Linked DNA regions of Caenorhabditis elegans. The protein of the gene in region 1 purifies or fractionates together with the protein of each later gene. This does not show direct contact. Each region holds a gene or a part of one and is shown in the gene's direction. Other genes may lie near its edges. The genes, in order: lpd-6, tsp-4, Y46E12BL.2 and F10E7.5.

What was found.
Region 2: the proteins of lpd-6 (region 1) and tsp-4 fractionate together in Caenorhabditis elegans (co-fractionation; one large-scale study listed by BioGRID). This does not show direct contact.
Region 3: the proteins of lpd-6 (region 1) and Y46E12BL.2 fractionate together in Caenorhabditis elegans (co-fractionation; one large-scale study listed by BioGRID). This does not show direct contact.
Region 4: the proteins of lpd-6 (region 1) and F10E7.5 fractionate together in Caenorhabditis elegans (co-fractionation; one large-scale study listed by BioGRID). This does not show direct contact.

What each region holds. Positions count from the first base shown.
Region 1 is NC_003279.8:3,143,866-3,149,643, reverse strand, and holds lpd-6 (Brix domain-containing protein), read left to right. Parts: upstream 1-1,850; 5' UTR 1,851-1,859; coding exon 1,860-2,274; intron 2,275-2,330; coding exon 2,331-2,512; intron 2,513-3,297; coding exon 3,298-3,374; intron 3,375-3,425; coding exon 3,426-3,551; intron 3,552-4,148; coding exon 4,149-4,610; intron 4,611-4,663; coding exon 4,664-5,123; 3' UTR 5,124-5,233; downstream 5,234-5,778. Other genes in the region: dscc-1 (Sister chromatid cohesion protein DCC1), read right to left, coding at 671-1,006, 1,081-1,350, 1,406-1,627.
Region 2 is NC_003282.8:12,518,587-12,522,216, reverse strand, and holds tsp-4 (Tetraspanin), read left to right. Parts: upstream 1-1,966; 5' UTR 1,967-1,985; coding exon 1,986-2,051; intron 2,052-2,096; coding exon 2,097-2,210; intron 2,211-2,256; coding exon 2,257-2,439; intron 2,440-2,596; coding exon 2,597-2,695; intron 2,696-2,782; coding exon 2,783-3,046; 3' UTR 3,047-3,098; downstream 3,099-3,630. Other genes in the region: sru-13 (Serpentine Receptor, class U), read left to right, coding at 96-305, 347-505, 552-749, 799-978.
Region 3 is NC_003280.10:15,231,306-15,236,210, forward strand, and holds the start of Y46E12BL.2 (Ribosomal RNA-processing protein 12-like conserved domain-containing protein), read left to right. Parts: upstream 1-1,847; 5' UTR 1,848-1,856; coding exon 1,857-1,924; intron 1,925-1,989; coding exon 1,990-2,259; intron 2,260-3,181; coding exon 3,182-3,255; intron 3,256-3,304; coding exon 3,305-3,468; intron 3,469-4,328; coding exon 4,329-4,635; intron 4,636-4,905. Other genes in the region: spsb-2 (SPRY domain-containing SOCS box protein 1), read left to right, coding at 263-345, 724-889, 1,184-1,320.
Region 4 is NC_003280.10:7,110,090-7,113,507, forward strand, and holds F10E7.5 (Ribosome assembly factor mrt4), read left to right. Parts: upstream 1-1,891; 5' UTR 1,892-1,902; coding exon 1,903-1,930; intron 1,931-1,978; coding exon 1,979-2,037; intron 2,038-2,084; coding exon 2,085-2,162; intron 2,163-2,211; coding exon 2,212-2,390; intron 2,391-2,437; coding exon 2,438-2,756; 3' UTR 2,757-2,893; downstream 2,894-3,418. Other genes in the region: F10E7.6 (uncharacterized protein), read left to right, coding at 2,995-3,102, 3,150-3,418.

The sequences.
Region 1 (5,778 bases):
TTTAACTTCGACCAGCAATTTTCATTTTCAGTCGTTTTGCGTATTTTTAATGGATTCTTCAATAAATAATTTATTTTTGAGAAATTTTGAAATTCAATTTTTCTCAGAAATGTGAGTCTTTATTAAATTTTTTAAATTTTTTTTTGAAAAAACTCTGAAAAACTGAAATTTTCGTGTTTTTTTTTGGGGTTTTTAATGTTTTTTTTTTTTTGGAAACACAGAGAAAAAACTCCGAAAAACTGAATTTTCGTGTTTTTCCGGATTTTTTTTCGATTTCTGTTTGAAAAAAACAACAGAAAAATTGAAAAATTCAGTTTTTTTTCCGGAAAATACCGAAAAAAATCTGAAATTTCTGGAGTTTCTGGGTCTTTTATTCTATTTTTTTAACAGCAAAACCTCGGAAAAACTGAAATTCTCGGTTTTTACGATTTTTGTTGGGAAAAAACAACGGAAAATTGAAAAATTCAGTTTTTTTTCCGGAAAATACTGAAAAAATCTAAAAATAAAAATACGAAAAACATCTGAAAATGAAAAATTGCTGGTCGAAATTCAAAAAAAAAGATTAATTTCGAATAATGATGCAAGCGCGGCTCGTAAATCGACACGGATACAGTAATTTCGTCTCTTCCCGGCGGGATATCTTGCGCGTAAGATATGGCGATTATTCTACCTTCTCCAGCTTCACATCACCGATTGAATCTTCATCGAGAAGCTCCACAATTAATCCGAGCATTTCTCCACGATATTTATGAGATAAATATCGATATCTTCCGCTTGAAAACTTTACAACCGGCAAATCATTGAGTGCAATTTTCACTTCTTCAACACTCATTTGAACACTATTCAGCAGGTCTCGAAGCTTATAACCCTTTAGATTCTCCTCTTCCTCACGATCCTTCCAGTCCCAACGTAGCTCCTGCTCGCGGAGCATATCCTTAAGCCGTCCGATGCTCAAAACATCCACTTGGGGACACAGCTCGCCTGTTGAGAAGCATTTTCCACCGATCTGAATTTAATTAAATTTTTAAAAAATTTTGAATTTCGAATAAACTAAAATAAATAAAAATAAAAACAACTGACAGTTTTCACCTGAAAATTCGGAAGCGTCGGTGAATCTGGAGCTTCCAGGCATTTATGAAGAAGAAGAACCGTTGTGGCGGATTCGATAATTTTCATGGGAAATGTGGCGTTGTCTGTGCACAGAACCGCGTCGTCAGTTGAATCTCCGCGAATTGTGAGGCTTTGACCTTCACTAAAGGCTCCGATGACTGATTCATCCACTGAGAGAAGCATAAATTCTGAGGAAGGATCGGAGTAATCCGGCGAAAATTCCATTTTTGTCATGGTCTTCTGAAAATTTTCATTTTTTTCCCCAAAAAAAAACTAATGCTCCAAGAAAGCTTACATTCATCGCCTGATCAAATGGCCTATTTTTCGATAAAATATCAAATGTGAATTGAGCATCCTTCTCTCGTATTGCGTGCTGCAGCTTTTCCATTACAGAGGGCTCCTCGAGCGTTTTTTGAGGTTCAGGCGCAACGATATTTTCCTCATTTCCACTTGCCGGAGCTGGAGCAACACGTTTAGTAGGTTGAGTAGGCTTGGATCTTGTGACGAAGCGATTCATTATCTGGAAACAGATCTGTACAGAAACTGAGAAAATCGATTTAAAGTTTAATTTGAAATTGGCGGAAATCGCGGTAAAAAACTTGTCGTCAGCTATGGCGCATTGGACGCAAACACTTTGACGGCAAACTGCACACTTCGTATTTTTTTTTTTTCGCAATTTTTTTCGTTCCATTTTCTAACCTAAATACACTTAATTTAACAATAATCTTTATAAATTTCAGTTCGAAAAAATGAAAATGAAGAAAGGAAAGAAGCAGAGAAAGTCTGGAGCTCATAATCGCGGAAATGTAGATGCTCTAAGTCAAAAAGATGCCCTTTATCATCAGGAAAAATTCGTGAAGAAGCTACAGAAGCAAAAGTTTTTGGAAAATAAAGAAATTGAACTAGCAAGACAGCCTCATTGCTTGGTTATTCATCGCGGAGACGTCGGAAAGTACGTGAAGGGCCTGGAGTCGGATTTGAGAAATCTCGTCGAGCCGAATACAGCGAAAAACTTGAAAATTCTCAAAAGAAACAATATCAAGGATTTTATCGTGAACGGTGCGGTACTTGGAGTCACCAATATGATGGTTCTCACTTCCAGTGATGCTTCCTTGCAGCTGAGAATGATGCGTTTCTCCCAAGGACCGACGTTATCGTTTAAAGGTTGCCAATTATCGATTTTAAATAAAATTCAGTAATTTAATTATTTTAATTTCCAGTTAAACAATACTCCCTGGCTCGCCACGTTGTTAATTGTCAAAAGCGACCAGTTGCCACTGATAAACTGTTCAAATCCTCGCCGCTCGTTGTGATGAACGGATTTGGCGACGGAACGCAGAAGCATCTCTCATTGGTTCAGACTTTTATTCAGAATATGTTCCCTTCCATTAATGTCGATACGGTAAAATTTTTAAAGATGGACTACGATCAGGGGGAAAATTGCTTTAAAACACGCCTATGTGGTCACAATGACCGAATATCATTATAAAAAATTCAAAAAAATGTTCTAGAGTTTATATGATTTTTTGAAAATTGGAAAAATCACAGTTTTCACCTAATTATTTTTGAATTTCCGCCAATTGAATTTGTTCGGTGGAGCGCGCTTGCATTATTTTTTTTTAATTAGTTTTATTTATTCTCGTTATTTGACTGATTTTCTTCATTTTCTATGTTTTTTCCTCGGAAAATGGAAGAAATAAACAAGAAAAATGCAAAATGTTTGTTTAAAAGTAACTGAAAAAGCATAAAACTGTAAAATTATGAGTTCCGACGACAACAAGCCTGAAATTAGTATATTTCAGTTTTACTCATTTTCAATTAGTTTTTAACAAACATTTTGCATTTGTCTTGTTTATTTCTTCCATTTTCCGAGAAAAAACATAGAAAATGAAGAAAATCAGTCAAATAACGAGAATAAATAAAATTAATTTTAAAAAATAATGCAAGCGCGCTCCACCGAACAAATTCAATTGGCGAAAATTCAAAAATAATTAGGTGAAAACTGTGATTTTTCCAATTTTCAAAAAATCTTATAAAATCTAGAAAAATTTTTTGAAATTTTTTATCATGATATTCGGTCATTGTGGCCCCATAGGCGTGTTTTAAAGCAATTTTCCCCCTGATCGTAGTCCACCTTTAAATCGATTTTTTTGTCAAGTTTCAGAAAAATTATACAAAAAATTTCAGATTCAACTTGGAAACCTGAAACGCTGCCTGATCGTCAGTTATGACGAAGAAACTGACGAAATTCAAATGAGGCATTTGTAAGTGCTATGAATTTCTCTAAAATATAATTATATAAATTTTTTTTTCAGCGCAATTCGAGTCGTCGCCTCAGGCCTCAACAAGTCTGTGAAAAAGCTTATGCAAGCGGAAAAGACGATGGGAAAGAATATTCCGAATTTGAGTACCTACAAAGACATCAGTGACTACTTTTTGAAGTGAGAATTGTTCAGAAATTCTACAAACTGAGCCTGAAATTCAGTGATTTATCTGAAAAAAACGTTCATATCAGTTTTAAAAATAGGAAAACCCCTCAAAACTGGTCAGAAAACTGGAAAATTTTCGGGAAAAAACTATACTCAGACGATTTTTGAGCATTTTTTTTTTCAATTTTTCCAACTGAAATAAACGTGATGCCTCTCAAAATTTATGGTTTTTCTGAAGAATTTGAATTTTTTCTCTCTGAAAATTCAATAATTCTTCAAAAATCATCCTTTTCCAGCCCCGGACAGTTCAGAATTCGAACGAAATTGAATTTTTCTAATGTTATTAATAAATTTCCATTAAAAAAATTCAAATTTTTCATAAAATGATTAATTTTGGGAGGCATCGCGCGTTTATTTCAGATCGAAAAATTGAAAAAAAACCTCTAAAATGGTCTGAAAATTGGAAATTTCCGGGAAAAAACAATTTTTAGACGATTTTCGAGGACTGTTTTCGAATTTTTCCAATTGAAATAAACGATATTTTCAGATAAATCACAAAATTATTATTAAAAAATATTCAATTTATTTAAATTTCCCTTCTTTTTCCAGCCCCGGACAGCTCAGCGATTCCGAATTCGAAGGAGATCAGCAAGAAGTCGAACTACCACAGGACATTTCAGAAGGACGTGGCTGCGGAGTTGGCCAGAAGAGCAACGTCCGTCTTCACGAGATCGGACCCCGACTGACTCTGGAACTCGTCAAAATTGAAGAAGGAATCGATGAGGGAGAGGTGCTCTATCACAAGCATAATGCGAAGACTCCAGATGAACTGATAAAACTGAGAGCTCATATGGACAAGAAGAAGCAGATGAAGAAGCGTCGTGAGCAGGAAAGTGAGCAACGTGTCATTCGAAGACTTACGATTGTCAAGGAGCAACAGGATGCTGAGGAGGCAGAGGTGAAGGCGATTCGAGAGAATGCTGCTCGTAAGCAAGCTGCCGCTACTGGACAAGTTGAAGAAGTTGAGAATCAGAAGGAGAAGGATAGAGAGATTGCGATGAATCGGGAAAGGTATAGATCCCCGTAATTGAAGACTTTTTAATTGATTTTTTATATTTTTGCAGAGATCTGAAGCGTGCCAACGAGGAATGGGGTACATCTGAAGCCTCGAAGCGTCCAAGATATGAGGATAGTCGTGGGGGATTCCGAGGTGGATTCAGAGGAAGAGGAGAAGATCGTGGAGGCTTCCGCGGACGTGGCGGAGATCGTGGAGGCTTCAGAGGTCGCGATCGTGATGGAGGTGGCTTTAGAGGAAGATCCGTGGATCGTGGTGGCTTCCGTGGAGGTGGTGGCGACCGAGGAGGCTTCAGAGGACGTTCATCAGATCGTGGTGGAGATCGTGGAGGCTTCCGTGGAAGATCGGGAGATCGTGATGGAGGATTTAGAGGTGGATTCGGAGGACGTGGTGGCGGTGGTTTCCGTGGAGGCGATCGAGGAGGATTCAGAGGACGCGGCGGAGGTGGTGGATTCCGTGGTGGGCGAGGTGGAGATCGAGGCGGCGGTTTCCGAGGAGGTCGTCGTTAATTCTGATATCAGTTGTTGTTTTTTGCAATTTGTTGTTTCTCCATTCTCCATTTTTATTTTTTTAAATGTTCGTTATTGTTATCGTTATAATCATGAATTTATCAGACTGTTTTCCTGTTTACCCGCTAATTTAGAATCAGGAATGTCGCTGAAAAAATGTGGGACTTAACAATTTTACCGAGAAAAATCATGTTTGCGCGTAATTTGTGATGCTTTCACAGATTGGGCTCACGGACGCAAACTTGTCACATCAAAGGAGCTAATTGCTTTAAAACTTTAAATTAGCTAGTTTCCTGCTTTATTTCATTGAAAAATCAATAAATTTCACAATTTCAGGCCTGTATGTATCACGGGAACACAAAATTCTGAGAATGCGTACTGCACAACATATCCGACGCTCAAAATATCTCGCAGCGAAAACTACAGTAATTTTTTAAATGGCTACAGTAGTGCTTGTGTCAATTTACGGGAATGAATTTCTTTTCGAATTTTCTCGTATCATTTGCTTAGTTTTAATATTCTATCGATAAATAAATCAATTTAATCCGTTTCGAAAATCGGGTCCGTAAATCGGCACAAGCGCTACTGTATCCATTTAAAGAATTACTGTAGTCTTCGCTACGAGATATTTTGTGCGTCGAATATGTTGTGCAGT
Region 2 (3,630 bases), on another chromosome or scaffold:
ATCTTATAGTCAGTATTTTAAAGCAATTTACCCATCGCAGCGACAAGATTAACTTCAAAAACACATAAAGTTCATGAAATGGTTCTTATTTTCAGAGCGTATTTTACATGATATCTGATTATATCACTATCCGTCTCCCATTCACCGGAATCATGACATCTTGGTGTGCATCTCAACAACCAAATCATTTCCTAAAAGTCTTATTTTTCTTTTCTATATATTTCACTTATGTTTCATGGCTATTTCCATTCCTTTTATCAACGTTACGATTGATTCCCGTTTATTTCCCGCGCAGACATAATCAAGTAACTCATGTTTTAATATTCAATTGCTAAATTTTTTTTAGCTATGCGCCCGGCTATCTAATTTTGCAATTCCATTCATCTACCTCTACCCATTCATATTTACATTCTCCCTGATACCGGCTCTAGGATCATGTCGACAACTTTTGGGCCCTTATAAATTTGGTTCTATTTTTATTTGGTTTACGGGGAACTGGTTTGATGTTAGCAAATTTAAAATTTATTTATCGAAAAATTCAAATTTTTCAGATAAAGTTGATAAATGGCTTAGTGCTCAATTTGGCCATTTGGCTTCTCCTATGCATTATTTCAAATTTAACACTTTTAATAAAACTGAAGAAGTTAAAAAATAATCGAAAAAGTGCAATTCTCCAACGAGCGGAATTATCTCTATCGCTGACAACATTATCCATGCTTTTATCGTTTCTGACAAACCTGGCATGTGCAGTAAGTCTATAAAAATGTTTAATTTTCTTTGAAAACATTCTTTTTTCAGTTAATATTCTTAATATTTCCATCACTGACAGCATATTTCATTGCTCTTCGGCCATTTGGAAATGATTGTGAGATTTGTGTTGGTCCGTGGATCTTCTATATGACACATCCTGCATTTAAAAAACAGAAAATTTTATTTTGGAAAGATGCATCGAAAATTGGAACTATTCATACAACTTAATAAATATATTCACATTTTGTAAAAATTTAAAAATGAAAGTTATGGACTGAGAAGTTTTTATCATGACATTATCATGAGGAACTATGTTGTATAAGTATCCAAATATTGAAATAATGTTTTTTTTTATAATCATCAATTTGAACCCACACCTTTATCAAACGATTTCATGCTAGAAGGGGTCTGTGATTAATATTATTACATTAGAAGTAGCATGTGTTTTCTAGCAAGATATGAAGTTAGATGTCAGAGCAAAATGTCTAGTCTGCTCAAACTAGGTTTCGTAATAAAATCACGTACCCAATGTGTGCGCAGTTGAGTTTTTGAACTTTCCATTTTTTGCTTCACATCATCTATTAGCTTGGTTTCCATTAACAACGACGCCAAACATTTCATAATCAGTCTGAAATGTATTTAAGTTGCTTTATAAGCCATTTTGAGGACTAGTTAAACCTCTCAACAAAACATTTCTTTAGCTGTTAGGCAAAACGTTTTTCCTGCAAATTTAATGTTCTCTGTCTCATATCAGAAAAACTCCTTTTGTTATTTTTAATTGAAAAAAATACAAACAACAATTTAGGTTACTAGTCATTATATTTTGCAACTACGTATATATATACACCTACGGGTAGCTGGTAAAACATTACATTCATATTTGGCTTACAGTAATCCTAACATCTTCTAAGATAAACCCTACCTGTCCTTGGCGTAACGAAAAATCGTGCTCAAGTAGGCAAAGTTCCGTGTAGGCAGGCGTTTTAGTGACGGCGCTATTGATGTCGGTTGCGCATTTACAGCAACTTTTTATCACACCCATTTTTCCCGACTTTGGCATCCTATATCCCGGATGCCTAAATATGAACAGACAAAATACGTGCCAAAACTTTCTGTATATCTTAAAAGTTGAATACGTTTTTTTTTCAAATAAAACCAAGAGCAACCGAGATATAATCTGTCTAAGTAAAGCAATTGTAATATAAGACAAATCAGCTTTCAGCACAGAAGAAAACATGGCCTACAATGTTTGTGGGAAATTAGCCAATTTCCTTTTCTTCATCCTCAACTTGGGACTAATCGTGAGTCAATTTTGGCTTTATGTAAAAAATGTAGCTAAACTATAGGTTGTTGGAGTAATGATAACTTGGTACTCTATATGGATGATACTTCACCAATTCGAAGTAACAGTTGCCAGAACAAGTCTTGTTAGTTTTTTGAGTGTGGACAATATTGAATGGGTAATAATTTCCAATTGCTTCTCCAAAATTGAGAATGTATTTTCAGTTTTATGTATACCGGACAATTTCTATAATGATTGGGGGATGTATGGTAGTTCTCGGTTTATGCGGCTGCTTCGCAGTGTGCTTTGGAAGCAAAACTGCGTTGTCCGTACATCTCGTATTGGTTTTTTTAGTTTTCGTCGTAAAAATTGTGGCAATTGTGATGTTTTTAGCGAATAAAGATCATGTGAGTTTAATTAAACTCGTGTGAAGATTTCACTAAACTTAAACATAATTTTTTGCAATAAACTACCAAAAAGTACAACAAAAAGTTTTAATTGAATAAAAGAAAAATGTCGATTTTAGCTTAATCTCTTTTCCATCTTATAAAATACGTTTTTCAGCTTCGAAGAGAGTTTGTCGGTGTTTATCGTGACGAATTGGTTGCAAACTATCATAACAATTCACGAACTAAAAACACTCTTGATTGGGTTCACACTAGTGTAAGTTTCCCCAAAATATGTTATATCTTAAACTCATTTGTAATGCCCAATTCAAACTTGTTTTTGATATTTCTAGCATGTTTTCAGTTGAAATGCTGTGGAGCAAACGGTTGTGAAGACTTTTTACCAGCCGGCAATTTTCCAACATCTTGTGAATGTGGTACAAAGAATGCAATGGTACGTATGGAAGGATGTGCTCTCATCACTTGGGCAGTATTTGAAGATGGAACACTCCAAGTTGCTTTCCTTGGATTGATCTGCATGTTGATTGAGCTTGGATTGATGATTTTTGCCGCAATAGTCATTGATAGAATCAGAAGAGAACCTTGTGCAATTCAGAAAGTTGGATGAATTTAAATTCCAGTTTTTTGTTACTTTCATGTTAATAAACTTTCAAAACATCTTCAGTATTGCCTCTCAAATATTTCCTGATATAAGATAAATTCAAAAAGCTGGGCTATCTATTCTACAACAACGTCACCAGAAAGGCACAAATGCAGGCGGGTAGTACCTATTTCAAAATCATGACGACGCTGCCTTTTTCTTGAAAACTAAAATTTACAAAATAAATATTTAAACATTTTCTGTTTGATTATAAATATTAGCTGAAAAAATATAATATTGAAAGCAATTTCTAAAGGAAATGCTTACCCCTCCGACAAAATGAAAAATAAATGAAAACAGCATTGATAAAGTCGTTAGAGAAAGCGATAGCTCAGCTTTTTGAACGGGAGCACTATTTCGTTGGTTTTTCATTTTTTTCCAGTTTTATAAAGAGCAACAAAGTTGAAGTAGTGCAAAGGATGAACCAAAATAATAAATTTCCAATAAGACCTTATATTAATTTTATCTGAAATTTTGGAAACATTGATTTTAAGTTGAAAGCTCTATCAAACATCAAACAAATTTCCACTAAACCAAAAATAAATGGCACC
Region 3 (4,905 bases), on another chromosome or scaffold:
AAAAATTTTTTAAATGCAAGCGCGCTCCATCGAACGAATCAATTGGCGGAAATTCAAAAAGGAATTAGGGGAAAAGTGAGATTTTTTCAATTTTCAAAAAATCATATAAAATCTAGAAAATTATTTTGAATTTTTAATCATGGTATTCGGTCATTGTGACCCCATAGGCAAATATTATGCAAATTGGCCAGTTTTAAATGTTAAATACAAAAAGAAAATTTAGAAAAAGCGATTGAAAACCCAAACTCTTCAATTTTTTCAGCTACACGAGAATGTCACTACGGTTCGTGGAAGTGGAAGTATCCGTACGGGAATGGTCGAGATGGTTTCAATGTTCCTGAAAAGGTGAACAATTTTCCCAAAAAAAAAAACCGAAAAAATCAATTTCTGGCCATAAAACCCAAAAAAAAAACCATTTTCGCCAGATAAAAAATCAATTTTCGTTTTGAAAAACCCAAAAAAATCAAGTTTTGTCAAAAAAACCGAAATCTCAATTTTGCCAAAAAAAAAGTGGCAAAAATTATCTTTTGCCAATAAAATACCTATTTTTGGCAAAAAATCTCTTTTTGCTTTAAAAAAACCCAAAAAATCTCAATTTTGTAACAAAAAAAACCAATTTTTTGCCAAAAAATACCAAAAAAACCATTTTTGCTATAAAAAACAAAAAAAACATTTTTTTTTTTGAAATTTTTGATCAAAAACCCAAAAACAATCAATTTTCAGATCTATTGCATTCTGGACATGGAGCAAGGAAATCTGTCATTCGCCACAGACAACGAGTACCTCGGAGTTGTATTCCAAAATCTCCGGGGAAAACGATTATACCCAGCTGTGGCGACTCTTTATGGAGACTGTGAGATTACCATGACACATCTGGGATCACTGGAACGTGAGTTTTGTAAACGTGCGGCGCAGAAAAAAGGGTGTGATGGCTGTCTTTTTGTAGATCTCCTTCTCGGAGTTTCTTTTCTGAGAAATCGCGGTTTCTAAAATCATGTTTTACAAATAAAACCGAGCCGCGACGCGACACGCAACGCGCTGTGAATCGGCCACGGCCGGTGTAGATTTACGGCGCTTTGCGTGTCGCGTCGCGTCGCGGCTCGGCTCGGTTTTAGCTAAATTTTAGTTGTAAAAATTCGAGAAAAGCCAGAACCAAATCGAAATTCTTGTTTTTTTTTTTCAGCAGTCGAGATGCTACCGTTGTTCGAACTGTGTCGACGTCGTTTCCGAAGCATAATGGGACCAGACCCCGACAAACGCATCAAGCCGCTGATGATCCCGCCGGTTATGAAGGAATATTTGTTGTATGAGATTGAGTGATATTGATCATTTTCTCGCCAAAAATTCACATTTTTCTCCTCTTTTCCACTAACCCACAAATCCCCACGGTTTTTCACCACTTTTTTTTTTGCAAATTTCGCTGTCAAATTGTGAATTACTCAGATTTATATATTGAATATATTGCTTTTATACCTGAATGAAAATTGGAATTTTGTTTTACAATGTTTTAAAATATTTTGACTCTTTTCCAAAAGCTTTTGTCGTTCAATATCGCTTCACGATTTGAGTTTCCGCCAATTTCAATGCGTGACGGCCTAGAAAACGCGGGGGGACGCGGCCTCTGGACACCTCGGGTCTCGCCACGAAAACCGAACAATTTATTTTTTTTCGCTATTCTTCGCCGATTTCTTGCTGAGAATCTTGCATTTTAAAGGTTTTTTTCAGTTATTTTTTACTTAAAATCAATAAAATAAATTTTTGCGCACTCAAATTATCAGTTTTCATCGTTTTCCAACAGTTTATCGCCTTGTTTTAGGAATTTTCCATCAAATTTGTCATTTTTTCAGATAAAAACAATGGGAGGTGGCAATTTCCGTCATCGTACAAGTAAGAAGGGAGCAGCGAAATTTAATTCAGGATCAGCGTGAGTGAAAACGTCGATAAATTCGTTGAATATAATTAAATTTAATTGTTTTTTTGTTTTTTCAGATGTGAAAGCAACCCAACGAGAAGCAAGCATCGCGCCGCTGCCAATGCCGCTAGAAATGCTTCTTTCGGCGGAGCCGGCATGCTTGCCGTCGAGGATCGTCTCATGAACACCGCCGCCGCCGACGATATGCTGCTCTCGGCTCTTCCGATTCATTCGATGGATATCGGCTCTTCGTCGAAAAGCATGGTTTCCGAGGGAGGCTTGTCTAAGCTCTCCGGATTCACGGCTTGCACAAATCCTGCGTTTGATTCTGTCAATCGGGTCTGGAAGTGAGAATTTTAGCGTTTTTTCCAAAAATTCAACAAATTTCACGACCTCCTGGAGTGTTCATAATTATTAGAGCGCGCTGGCTCGGCACCTCACGAACTCCAGAATTCGCGGGAATTCGTTCAGCGGGGACAGCAGTTTTTTGCTATTTTTGGCTTCTATAAGAAATATTTTTGATTTTTTGTTTTATAATATTGTTGAGAAGCATCATCCGAATTGAAAATGTGTAAAATTATGAAATTTGCCCGAAAACTGAAAGTTTTACAGAAGGAAGTCATTATAGTTTTTAAAAAAATGTTTCAGGATTGCCAGTTTTGCGAGTTATGCGTCGTAAAATATGTCATTTTGTAGAGAATTAAAAGTTTCATGAGAATTTTCGTTTGAAATTTTAATTCTTTAATTTCTAATATAAAAATATTCAAAAAATCAACAATTTTACGTTAAAATCTTGTTTCTTAAATTTTTAAGCTTTTAATAAAAGCAATTTTAAATTTTCAAACGAAAATTCGTATGAAACTTTTAATTCTCTACAAAATGACATATTTTACGACACATAAAACGCAAAACTGGCGATCCTGATACATTTTTTTAAAACTGTAGTGGCTTCCTTCTGTAAAACTTTCAGTTTTCGGCTAAATTTCATAATTTTACACATTTTCAATTCGGATGATGCTTCTCAAGAATATTATAAAACAAAAAATCAAAAATATTTCCTATAGGAGCCAAAAATAGCAAAAAAACTGCTGTCCCCGCGGAACGAATTCCCGCGACTTCTGGAGTTCGTGAGGTGCCGCACGAGCGCGCTCTAATAATTATTTATAACACTCCAGGAGACCGGGAATTTTTTATTTTCAAATTTGATTTTAAACTCTTGAATCTCTTTTCCAAAGCACGAGCCGTAGACTGATAGATTTATTTCTTCAGATCTGGGTCCTCTATTCAAGCAGAGGTTGTCTCGGTTTTGGCAGCAATCGCTGAAGTCATCAAAGAGCGGGATGGTAGTTTAATTCCCCCATAATTTTAGGCCTAAAAATTAGGGATTTTCAGGCAAAGAATCCGACGTTGAGTACTGTGCGGCTCTGATGACCGCGCTGGAAGGATCCTCGCTGGGAAATCCCAGAAGAACGGCAGCAATCGCTTATCTGCTTCATCTGATTGTGAGAAAGGTGCCGAAAGAGGTGCTTCAAGCTCAGTTTCACAGATTTGTGCAGGTATGGGCTTTTTGTGAAGCAGCGGCAGTGGGGAAATTGCTTTAAAACATGCCTATGGGGTCACAATGACCAAATATCATGATAAAAATGTTCAAAAAAATTTTCCAGATTTTATATGATTTTTTGAAAATTGGAAAAATCACAATTTTCCCCTAATTTCTATTTAAATTTCCGCCAATTGGATTTGTTCGATAGAGCGCGCTTGCACGTTTTTTAATTTTGTTTATTTTATTTTTTGCTATTTATTTTCGTCCGATTTTTCATGTTTTCAGTGTATTTTTGCTTGAAATTTGAAGGAAAATTTGAGATAAATGCAAATAATTGATGAAAAAGCAACGAGACACAGTCTGAAAAAAGAAGAACTAACGATTTTAAACGACATCGAACCAGAATTGGCTGATTTCCTAGATTTGCGATTTGCGTAATAGATTTGCGTAAATGCGTAAATCGTAAATCTAGGAAATCAGCCAATTCTGATTCGATGTCGTTTAAAATCGTTAGTTCTTCTTTTTTCAGACTGTGTCTCGTTGCTTTTTCATCAATTATTTGCATTTATCTCAAATTTTCCTTCAAATTTCAAGCAAAAATACACTGAAAACATGAAAAATCGGACGAAAATAAATAACAAAAAATAAAATAAATAAATTTAGAAAACGTGCCAGCGCTCTACCGCACGAATCCAATTCGCGGGAATTTAAATAGGAATTAGGGGAGAAATGGGGTATTTGCAATTTTCAAAAAAAAATCATATAAAATTTAGAAAAATTTTTTGGATTTTTTAAATCATGATATTCGGTCATTGTGATCCCATAGGCATGTTTTTAATCCACCTATAATTTAAAAAAATCAATAATTTGCAGATTCTCTACACAAAACTCCTAGAAAACGTCGATAGCACCGAAGGATCCGCGTTGAAAAACCTCATTTCAGTGCTCGGAATCATCCTCCGTGCCCAGCAAGCGTCCGTCTGGTCCAGCGCCAATACGCGGAATATGCTCGTCTCTGTGGCTGCTCTGGCGGCTCACGACAAGCCGTGGGTCCGTACGATGGCTCGTCGTGTGATCCGGGCGGTTCTTACCGATCCGGTTACTGCGACGGATAACGGGTTGCATCCGGCGAGCGGAGCAGTTGGACAACTGATTTTGAATCATATTGAAAGCTTTTTGGGTTCGTAATTTGGCTTGAGAGAAGAAATCGGTCTCAAATTACCAAAAAATAACTGCTAAAAAGTTATTTTGCAGCCAAAAAGTAAAAAATCCCGCGAAAAATGAAAAAAAATCGAAAAAATTGAGTTTTCACTTTAGAATCCAAAAAATCGACGGAAAATGTGTTTCTAACTCGAAAATTTCGAATTTACAGTTAAAATTCAACTTTTCAAATCAATTTTCACTTTATAATCCAAAAAGTCAACGGAAAACGTGTTTCTTACTCGAAAAT
Region 4 (3,418 bases), on another chromosome or scaffold:
TTATCAGTAAAAGTCAATAAATAGAACCAAGTTAGACATTTTAGAATTTGATACGATTTTTCGTAAGACTATTTTGGTTGCATATGATCTATCTTTTTTGAGCCTGAACTATGAAAATACATTATTATTATTATTATTATTGAGAATTGAATTTCAAGAAATTTTACAGAATCATTTTCAATTTAACATATAACGCTCACCGTTGATGAACATCCATTAAACCACTATACATATTTAAATTACTAAATACTGTGTTCTTTTTCTAAACGGAATAGTTTTGTGGTTTTCGTTTATATCTTTCAAATCAATCTTGTGTAGAATCCTACTAGGAACTGGTCATTCATTGATTTTCTAAAAACCTAATTACTTGTTTCCGGAAAACTTCAAGTTTTCATGGTTTCGGGTCCTGGCACGAGTGCAACTTTTTAGCTACCGTACCCGCAAGTAGGATAGTCCTTCAATCTTTCACATTGCATTATCCTTTTTCATATTTGAATTAGTTCCAATAGTGAATCTTTAACGATATTTGCAACAAAAATATTTTAAAACTAGAGGTATCCGAGGTAGAACAGCGGAGTACGCGCGGGTACTGTAGCTGGAAAGTTCCACGTGCCAAGACACGAAACCGTAGTTTTGTTCAACTGCAACTATTTGCAAACAGCTCTGCTAAATAACGAAAATTTAGAATTCAAGATTTTGTTTCAAAAATTTCAAATATTCAATGAAGCGTGCTCCATCTTTTATTCGAGTCATGATGATTGAGATATGGAATTGGGAATTTCCGGAAACTGAAGAAACTGAATAAATTACATTTTGAGATTTTATGTATTAAAGATGATACGCTTTAATTCAAATGGAGCACTATGTCTAGTCGAATTTATCTAACAATTGAGTTTTGGCAATCGAATGAATTTATGGTAACCTGTTGTTTTTCATCGTTCAAACGCAAATTTAAGAGTCTGGAAAATAGAGAGAATGCATGGATGAACCAAAAAAAAAAAGAAAGAAAAATGCAGTGCTCACAACAAAACGAGAAAATGACTCTGCGTCTCTACATCCTCCTCAATCTTTTATTCGACATTTCCTCTGAAATTCGGTTTCAATTTCGAAATGAAAAAGAAGAGAAAAAAAGAGAAGTGGAATTTAAAAGCGACATGGAGAGGAGACGGCATTATTGATTTGGAGAGCTCATGGCTCTTGCTCGAAGAGCATGTATGCGCGACGACGTGAATTGAGAGAAGTGAGGGAAACGAGAAAAGGAGATGAAGTAAGAGAAGAAGAAGCTTCTCATCTGACGATACTTGATTGGGCTAATTGGGATGCAGATGAATCTTATGGGAATATTCAGATATAGAAGGGACCTACCATCTTCCAATTTTTTTTCTGAAACTTGAAACTGATCTAGATTTTCAGTCTAAACTGTCTGAAACTTCAACGTGGATATTCCATCTCAAAGAACTGATACAGAAAGCATGTATTATTTCACATAGGGAACTCGGAAAGTTTTGTTTCGTGTTGTTTCGTGTTGGATCTATAATTCTACATATCCCCTTCTGATATTTTTTCGTTTGAAACCATAAAAAGATGAAACTTATTTTAAGGTTACCGCTACTACATTCTCATTAAACCTATTTTAAAGAAATCATAGCATCTGACAATGTCAACCAATTTTTGTATCTTCTCCGCTATTGAGACTTCTTTAAATGAACTTGAATATTAGTTTTGGTTACGGTGTGCAAAGGTACGCAAACACCACTACGCGCAGTTGCACACAATCATTTTCTCTGTTTTTTTTTCTTGTTTCTTCATTTCTTCAACTTTTCCTATGTTGTTACTGCTACTTTTCAGCTTTTTATAGTTTAAATTGCAATTAAATTGTAATTTTCAGCAGTACTCTACACAATGGCTCGTTCCCGCAGAGATAAAAATGGTAATTTTGTTGTAAAATTAAATTATAGGCAAACTTTTTATATTTCAGTGTCACTCACAAAAGTCAAGAAGAAGACTAAGGACACAAAGAACAATTTGGTTAATGAGGTAAAATTTAAGAGTGAAGTGCTGACTAAATAATTATTTTTTTCCAGGTCCGTGCAAGTGTCGATCAGTACAAAAACCTTTTCATTTTCACGATTGCTAACATGAGAAGCACACGATTCATTGCCGTTAGTTAAAATCAGATTGAATTAAAATTTGATTACTTTTGAATTACAGATCAGACAAAAGTACAAGGAGAATTCAAGATTTTTCTTCGGAAAGAACAATGTCATTTCTATCGCTCTTGGAAAACAGAAGTCTGATGAGTACGCAAATCAGCTTCACAAAGCCAGTGCAATTCTGAAGGGTCAATGCGGTCTCATGTTCACCAACATGTCCAAAAAGGAAGTTGAGGCGTAAGTTTTGAGTAACCATTGCTTCTCTAATAGCATTTTATCTTCAGTGAATTCTCCGAAGCTTCAGAAGAAGATTACGCTCGTGTAGGAGATGTTGCCACAGAGACAGTTGTTCTACCAGAAGGACCAATTTCACAATTTGCCTTCTCTATGGAGCCACAACTGCGAAAACTTGGTCTCCCAACGAAACTTGACAAAGGAGTTATCACCCTCTACCAACAGTTTGAGGTGTGCAAAGAAGGCGAACCGCTGACTGTGGAGCAGGCTAAAATCTTGAAGCACTTCGAAGTGAAGATGTCTCAATTCCGTCTTATCTTCAAAGCTCACTGGAACAAGAAAGACGGCTTCAAAGAGCTTGATGCTTAACTTCTGCTAATCATCCTTTTATTGTTAATTTGTTGATTTGATTCTGATTCTCCTTGATTTGAAAACACCCACTCCATCCGAAAATTGTCGTTTATCATCTTGTTTTTTTGTTTATCCAATAAATTGTTACTTGTTTCAGAGTATTAATATTGATAAATATAGAAGGAGGTTAAATCCCAAACTTATTAAATATCCAATGATGATTATAAACCAACGAGAAAGCTGATTGTTCAGGAACATGTGGAGGGTTTTGTTATCTCGTTCCTCAATATTAGCTCAAGCCAGAGGATTGGCAACCAAGAGAAACGCACCTGAACCGAAGTTTACACAAAGTGCCGCATTTCAAGTAATTACCTCGAAGCATAAATAATTATTTTAGTAGATGTCTTTCAGGGTCGTGGATCTCGAGGAATGCCACAATTCAAGCCAGATTACTACTCATCAGACGCGTATGCCAACAAAAAAGTGCTATCAGCTATCGGAAGTCTTATAGCAATTGTAATCTATTTCGGTTGGCTCAGAGAACCATCAGATTTGGACGAAATATGGAGCGCTCCACCACACATTTTGACCTCCAATTTGGAGAGAAAAATGCTTCGAGAACAAATTAAGCAAGCTCAAGAGAAGGGAATGGATACAGCGCTTCTACGAGCACAATTGGA